2 separate regions of the Mus musculus genome follow, and region 2 is reported to be linked to region 1. Evidence: microRNA targets listed by miRTarBase, many of them from high-throughput screens and not tested one by one. Region 1 holds a microRNA gene; the other region holds the end of a gene's coding sequence.
The links. The annotated mature microRNA mmu-miR-466f-3p reads CAUACACACACACAUACACAC and lies in region 1 at 1,909-1,929, shown strand. An mRNA with a match to its seed (bases 2 to 7 or 8) in the 3' UTR can be bound and repressed. Matches are read on the target gene's strand: a 7mer-m8 pairs with bases 2 to 8, a 7mer-A1 pairs with bases 2 to 7 and ends in A, and an 8mer does both.

Region 2: the mRNA of Tfcp2l1 is a reported target of mmu-miR-466f-3p. Seed matches in the 3' UTR shown: 7mer-m8 at 1,767-1,773, 7mer-m8 at 2,246-2,252 and 8mer at 4,004-4,011.

Annotation. Positions count from the first base shown.
Region 1 is chr2:10,470,099-10,473,745 of GRCm38, forward strand. Mir466f-3 (microRNA 466f-3) reads left to right here and starts at 1,855; the gene lies at 1,855-1,948. All of the region lies in intron 10 of Sfmbt2 (Scm-like with four mbt domains 2), which reads left to right. It overlaps Mir669d-2 (microRNA 669d-2), which reads left to right and starts at 1,546; the gene lies at 1,546-1,631. Mir297a-2 (microRNA 297a-2) reads left to right here and starts at 2,156; the gene lies at 2,156-2,245. It also overlaps Mir466o.
Region 2 is chr1:118,676,276-118,680,811 of GRCm38, forward strand. Tfcp2l1 (transcription factor CP2-like 1) reads left to right here. Exons shown (of 15, transcript NM_023755.2): 15 at 1,113-4,536. The coding sequence ends at 1,159. Among named protein-coding and RNA genes, the nearest start is that of Tfcp2l1, 51 kb to the left of the region's middle.

The DNA of each region.
Region 1 (3,647 bases):
CACCAGGTAAAAACCCTTGCCAGAGTCATCAGTATCTGGAGTTCAAATTCATGTTTAACTTCATGAAGAATTTGGGATCAGCCTGGATTCATGTGATGTCTCCCCTTGAATGTGCATATGTGTATACATAAGTGTGTTCATGTGTATATGTGTATATGAATATACATATACATACACACAAACATACATGCATGCATGGACACACACACACATGAATGGCACTCATTGATCCATTTGTATGATATATAATTTAGAGCTTTAAATATTATGTAGTACTGGGTCAGTAATAGTCTCACTCATAAGGTAAAAACACTTGCCAGAGTCAGGTGAAGAGAGAGTTCAAATACAAAATTTACTTCATGAAGAGATAGAAATCAGACTGGGATGTTTCTTATGTATGTGCATGTGTGCATATATGTATGTGTGCATGTTAATATATGCATATAAATATACACATATAAACTAACCAACACAACATGCACACACACAGAGACACACACAAATACACACACACACACACAAACTCAAAATTGATACTCATCTATCCATTTGAATGATATGTAACTTAATGTTTTAGAGCTATGTATAAATGGGTCAAGGAGAAGTCTCACTCACTAGGTGAAACACTTGCCAGAGTCAGGAGGATCAGGAGTTCAAATTCATGCTTAATTTCACAACGATTTAGAGATCAGTATGCAATTGATGTGATGCACACCAAGAATGTGCATGTGTTAGAGTTGTGTGCATATTCACTTCTCTATATGAATATGCATATACACACATGCACACACAGTAATGCCACTCATATATCCTTTGAAATGATATGTGCCATAGAGCTTTAGCGCTTATGCGGTAGTGATCCAGAGCTATGTCTCAGTTAGGAGGTGAAACGCTTGCCAGAGTCTGGAGGATCTGGAGTTCAAATTCATGTTTAACTTCATGATGAGTTAGAGTTCATCATGCGATTCATGTGATGCCCAACAAGAATGTGCATGTGTGTATAGCTGTGTGCATATTCACTTCTCTATATGAATATGCACATACACGCAAGCACACACAGGAATGGCACTCATATATCCTTTTGAATGGTATGTGACTTAGAACTTTAGAGCTTATGCAGTACTGATCAAGAGCTATGTCTCAGTTAGGAGGTTAAGTACTCTTGCCAGAGTCAGGAGGATGAGGAGTTCAAATTCATATTAAATTCATGATGAGGTAGCAATCAGTCTGGGATTCATGTGATGTCCCCCGTTTATGTGCATGTGTGCAGAAGTGTATGCATGTACATGTGTTTATGTGAATATACATATACATACACACATATACACACACATGCAAACATACATGTAGGAATGGTACTCATCGATGCATTTTAATGATATGTGACTTAGACCTTTGGAGATTATGTATGACAGGGCCAGTGTCAATTCTCACACACCTGGTGAAAACCCTTGTTAGAGTCAGGAGGTATAGGAGTTGAAAATCATGCTTAACTTCATGAGGAGTAAGAGATCATCCTGGATTCATGTGATGCCCCCTATATATGTGCATGTGTGTATACTTGTGTGTGCATGTATATGTGTCTATATGAATATACATATACATACACACCCATATACACACGCATGCACGGAAACACAAAAACATAAACATAAACACAGGAATGGCACTCATTGATCCATTTGAATGATATGTGACTTAGAGTCTTATAGATTATGCAGTAGTGTGTCAATGAACGGTCTCACTCACCAGGTGAAAGTTGTTGACAGAGTCAGGAGGATCAGGAGTTCATATTCATGCTCAATTTCAGTTAGTGATCATCCAGACATTCATGTTATGCCCCTCATGTATGTGCATGTGTGTTTACGTGTGTGTGCATGTGCATGTGTGTATATGAATATATGTATACATACACACACACATACACACGCACGCAACACACACACACACACACACACACGACACTCATTTATTCATTTGAATGATATGTGACTTAGAGTTTTAGAGATTATGTAGTACTGGGCCAGTGAGTGCTCTCACTCACAAGGTGGAAATCTTGCCAGAGTCAGGAGGATCAGGAGTCGAAATTCATTCTCAACTTCATGTTGAGTCCGGGATCAGCTTCTGATTCATGTGATGCCCCCAGTGTATGTGCCTGTGTGTATATGTATGTGTGCATGTGCATGTGTGTATATGAGTATACATATACATACGCACATACCCATACAAGCATGCACACAAACCCAAAACTGCCACTCATCGATCTATTTGAATGATATGTGTCTTAGAGTCTTAGAGATTCTGTATGACTGGGCCAGGGAGAGGATTCACTCACCAAGTAAAGACCCTTGCCAGAGTCAAGATAATCAGGAGTTCAAGGTCATGGTAAAGGCATGATGAGTTAGAGGTCATCCTGGCATTCATGTGATTGCCCCTATGTATGTGTGTATGTGTTGATGTGTGTGTACATGTACATGTGTGAATATGATATACATACATGCACACATAAGACACATATGAGCACATAGACACACAGGAATGGCACTCACTCATCAATCTATGTGACTGAGAGCTTTGGAGATTATGTGTGACTAGGTCAGGGAGAGTTATCACCCATCATATTAAAAATGCTTGTTAGAATCAGGAGGTCAGGAGGTCAAATTCATGCTTTATTTCATGATGACTTAGAAATCTGCCTGGGATTCATGTGATGCCCCCATGTATGTGTACATGCGTGTACCTGTGTGTGGATTGTGTATATGAATATACATATCTACACACGCATAGACATGTACACAGACACACAAACATGAATGCAACTCATCGATCCATTTGAATGACGTGTGACTAAGAGTTTTAAGATTCTGCAGTACTGAATAGGGAGAGGTCTCACTCAGCAGGTGAAATCCCTTGCCAGAGTCAGGTGGTCCTGGAGTACAAATTCATGTTTAACTTCATGATGAGTTAGAGTTCAGCATGCGACTCATGTGATGTCCATCAAGAATGTGCATGTGTGTATAGTTGTGTGCATATTCACTTCTCTATATGAATATGCATATACACGCATGCACGCACAGGAATGCCACTCATATATCCTTTTGAATGGTATGTGACTTAGAGCTTTAGAGCTTATGCAGTACTGGGCCAGAGCTATGGCTCAGTTAGGAGGTGAGTACTCTTGCCAGAGTCAGGAGGATGAGGAGTTCAAAATCATATTTAATTCATGATGAGTAGAGATCAGCATGCGATTCATGTGATGCCCTCCAAGAATGTGCATGTGTGTATAGCTGTGTGCATATTCACTTCTCTACATGAATATGCACATAGCTGTATGCACACATACTCACAGGAATGGCCAGAACTATGTCTCAGTTAGGAGGTGAATATTGTTGCCAGAGGGAGGAGAATATGGAGTTCAAATTCATGTTTAACTTCATGATGAGTTAGAGAACAGCCTGGAATTTCTGTGATTGTCCCCGTGTATGTGTATATGTGTATAGGTACGTGTGCATGTAAATGTGGGTATATGAACATGCATATATATATATATATATATATGTGTATATATATATATATATATACATACATACATACACATATACACACACATATGGACACATACATGTGCACACAAACACACATGGTAG
Region 2 (4,536 bases), not on the chromosome of region 1:
CTAGACAGACAGACAGACAGACAGACACACACACACACACACACACACACACACACACACACACACACAAGTGTACACACACATATACACACACACACACAAAATTAAAGGTAAAATAAGTCTTAAAGATCAGGAGACTGGGTTCAGGCTGTTCTAAGACCAACTCCCACCCTGTTCTGGGGACCTAGGCTGTGTGTGTTAGCTTTTTGTTACTGTGACAATGTGTGAGGTTGGTTATTTGGGCTCAGTTTGGGAGGTTTCAGCCATGGCCAGTTAGCCCTGTTGCATTTGGCCCTTTGGCAAGGCAGCACACGAAGGTGTGAGTGTGGTGAGCTGCTCTGTTACCTTCAAGACAGCTGGAAAGTGAAGGGAGAGGAGGGCCAAGGCTCAGTGTTCCCTCCAAGGGCTGATGTCATTTTCTCCCACTTGGCTCCACCCCTTAAAGCTCCCATCATCATTCGCTAGCATAAGCTGGTGACTAAACCTTTTACAACATGGGCCTTAAGATCCTAAATATAGCACAAACAATTGCAGAAAGCCATAGTTTGCCTAAAGCCTCCTCCTTGAGCCTAGGGCTATCTATGGTGAAAAGGCTCTTTGTCCAAACCAGAGTGCCTGGGAAGATCATTCAGTCAATATAGTGCTTGCCATGCAAGCAGGAAGCCTCTAGCTCAGTCTCCAGAACCCATGTTTTGTTATTGTTGTTTGGTTTTGTTTTAAAGCTGGGCATTGGTGGTATGTGCTTGTGATCCATCCTAGCCTGGTGAGACAGAGACAGGCTCACTGGTCAGCCAGCCTAGCTTACTTGGTGAGCTCTAGACCGATGAGAGACTGTCTCAAAACACAGGGTGGAAAAACTCCTAAGGAATGATACCTTTTGGCCTCTGCACAAGTATATGCACACACACACACACACACACACACACAGTAATTGTGTAAACAGATGCCAAAACCTGTGTAGAAAGCCCTGCTTCTGTAAACAGACTCTTCCTTATGAAGTCATTTGAGTGATTTTTGCCTCTGACTTAATACATGCCTTTTGGGACACCCAAATCACACTGTACCAACTCTGTACCTGTGACGCATGCCCATGCCCAGTGTTTCTCTTGCAGCAGAAAGCAATGATGGCTACCACATCATCCTGAAGTGTGGACTCTGAGCAGCAGCGCCTGCACCTGTCCCCTGCCCCATGGATCCCTGGCTGTGAAAGGTGCACCACTGTCAGCTGCTGTCTCACCTGACAAGCTCAGACTAGGAGGGACTCTACCCAGACCAGGAAAGCTACAGACAACCATGGACACAAAGTCTGGTGTACAGAAGAAAGCCAGCGGTTCCCTTCTCCTTTCCTCTTGGCTTTTAGGTTTTTAAGTTTCTTGTTCTGTTTCCTGGGCAGATAGTGGGGATGTGCATCTCTTAAACTCTGAGCCCTGCAGTTGGAGGGTCCTTTGATGTATTGGTCCTTCCTGTCTCCTCTCTTATGTCACCCTGATTCCTGCTTCTTTTTCTTGAGTCACTGGCTTCATGGCTAGCTCTGCCAATCTCACAAGGGCTCCACACACAGTTCTCCTCCTAATACTGACTTCCTTTCTCAGGACCCTGGTAGCCATGTCTCTCCTGTTCTTGGATGACTTGATAAGACTGGAGCTATTTATTTGTGCCTTCCATTTCTTTCTCAGTCGCCTTGTCTCTAAGGATCTGCTACATTCAAGCCCAGAGTCTCTGCATTGACATGGTAGATGGCACAGTGTACCTATGTGACCTCTCATTGTGTATTAGTTCCTTTTCTGTTGCTGTGATAAGATACTCTGACAAAGGCAACTTGATAAAGAAAGGGCTTGTTTTGGCTTAGAGTTTTGTAGGGATTATGGTGGATATTATGGTGAGGAAGGTGCCAAACAGAAAGCTAGCTGATCTCATTTTCATACACGTAGGAAGCAGCACAGAGAGAAAGAGCAAGAGCAGGAAATGGTACAAGCCTTCAAGGACCACCAACCCCAGTGACTTACTTCCTCCAGCAAGACTGCATCCTCTAAAAGCCCCATAACCTCAGCAGACTACATCACCAACTGGGACCACGTGTTCAAATACATAAGCCCATGGGATACATTTCTCATTCAAGCCACACATTTTGCCCATGTGACCTCCCACATTTTCTAGTTAGAGATGCTATGGACTAGGAGATGACATGTGACTTCCTCACCAGGGAAGAGAGGTGAGGACAGAATGATTCCTCATGGACCACTACTGTGTATTCTCATTTCTGTTGAGCAAAGAGTACTAAGAGGTGAAGATTCTGTTATCCAGTGGCCTTGACCATCCATTCTAGACATTTGGGTTGGGGTATGTCTCAGTAGATCCCTCCCTGGCAAGTATGAGGCCCTGGGCACCATCCCAGCGCTACAGCAGGAGGTACTTACTGAATTCTCTTTTTCAGACAACCTCAGCTAACCACTGCTGTTTGCCAAGTGGCCCAGGGGTAGTATGGTGTTTTTTTCATTGCTCATTTAAGATTCTATCATAGGTATATAGATAGGTGCTTTGTCTTTGTTGGCATGGTTGAATTGTTCACTTTTTTTGTTTGTTTTGTTTTTTTCAAGACAGGGTTTCTTTGTTAGCCCTGGCTATCCTGGAACTCACTCTGTAGACCAAGCTGGCCTCGAAATCCGCCTGCCTCGGCCTCCCAAGTGCTGGGATTAAAGGAATGTGCCACCACTGCCTGGCTTGTTCACCTTTCTTAACTCTGGGGGAATTTGAGGATCAGTAGCTATGGTAGACTTAATTCATCTTTATTATGCCCACCCAGTGCTTCAACTCTTTCCTAATCCTCAAGCCATAGTGAGTTACTTCTAAGCTCAAAGATTTGCCAAAGGTTTTGGCAAATATTATTTTACAGGCAGAAAAACTACTCTCACAGGAAAGATGAGCTCTCAGTTCCTTGTCTTTTGAGACATGTGGGTGGGGTTGACAGCTTTATTGAGATGTTGGTGTCGTGAATATATTGGCACAGGCTTTCTGTGGACAGGGTTTCATTTTGGGAATGTGCCTGGTAGAATGGACAGCTCATAAGGTAACTTTTCACCGGTTTGAGAAACTGCCCAGTGTTTCCCACGCAGCTACACGTGTTTGTATTACCACCAGCAATGGAGGATGGTTCTAGTTTCTCCACCTCCTCATCAACATTTGCTGTGATTTCTCATTCTTGCCCGCCTGTCCTCTCTCCCTCCCCCTTCTTCTTCCGTATAGTCCAGCCTGGCCTCGAAGTCACTAAGTAGAAGAGGAAAATTGAACTTCTGATCTTCCTGACTCTGCTTCTTAAATGCTAACAACATAGAAAAGTACCTCCACACCTAATGTATGCGGTGCTGGGACAAAATCCAGGGCTTTGTGCTTGCTAGGCAAGAGCTCTCTCTACCAGCTGAGCCACCTCCCTAGTGGTGACCTGTCTTTTATTACAATATCCTGCTGGTGTCATGCATGTCTCTGGCTAATGATGTTCAATGTCTCTTCACATTGATTGGCCATTTGTATATCTTTGGGAAAATGTCTGGTTATGTCTTGCCTGTTTTTAAATTGGGCTCTCTTCATTGAATTGTACAAGTTGTTGATGAAAATCCTTCATCAGTTTTTCTCCATTCTGCTCCATTCTGTAGGCTGTCTTCACCCTCTTAATGGTTGATGCTCCTTGGGGTGTACATGTTTCTAAATTGGTTGTGCTTAGTAGTATGAACCAGCACTCCCAGTACTCAGCTGAGGCTCCCGAGGCCAGCCCAACCTACATAGTAAGACCCAGTCTCAGAAACAATTGTCATCATTATTTTAATGTGTGTGATGCCTGAGTTACCTTCTGCTGATTGTAGTTTTGATGTGGATACTAAGAAACCATGACCTAATGCAAACTCAGGAAAATCTGTGTTTTCTCCTTAGAATTAAAAACGCTGTTTATTTTTATTTTATGTGCATTGGTATTTTGCACATTGGTATAGTATGTGTGGTTGTGTGTGTGTGTGTATATATATATATATATATATATATGTATATGCACACATACACACAGATCCTTGTAAGGGTGTTAGATCTTCTGGAACTGGAGTTGCAAGCAGGTGTGAGCTGCCATGTGGGTGCTGGGAATTGAAGCTTGGTCCTTTGGAAGAGAAGCCAATGCTCCTAACCCCTGAACCATCTCTCCTGGTCCCTCTTAGGAACATGATTAAAGTTTAGTTGTTACAATGAGTTCTGCTCCAGTCTGAGTTAGTTTTACATATATGATATGTAGTGGGAGAGTCTAGTTTCATCCTTTTACATGTGAGCGTCTACTTATTTTACCCCTAATTACTGAAAGGACTGGAGCTTCTGTAGTCTGGAGACCTCCGATTCCTGGATCTTTGTGAGCACGGCGGGACCATTGCTGATCTCTTGTTCCTTTTACCTTCTTGGTCTGCATTTGGGTCTACTGCTCTTACGGCCACTTCCCTCCTCTCCTCCTGTCAGCAGGACTGGATGATGCCCCTCTGTTCTGTCGTTTTTCCTGGCACTAAC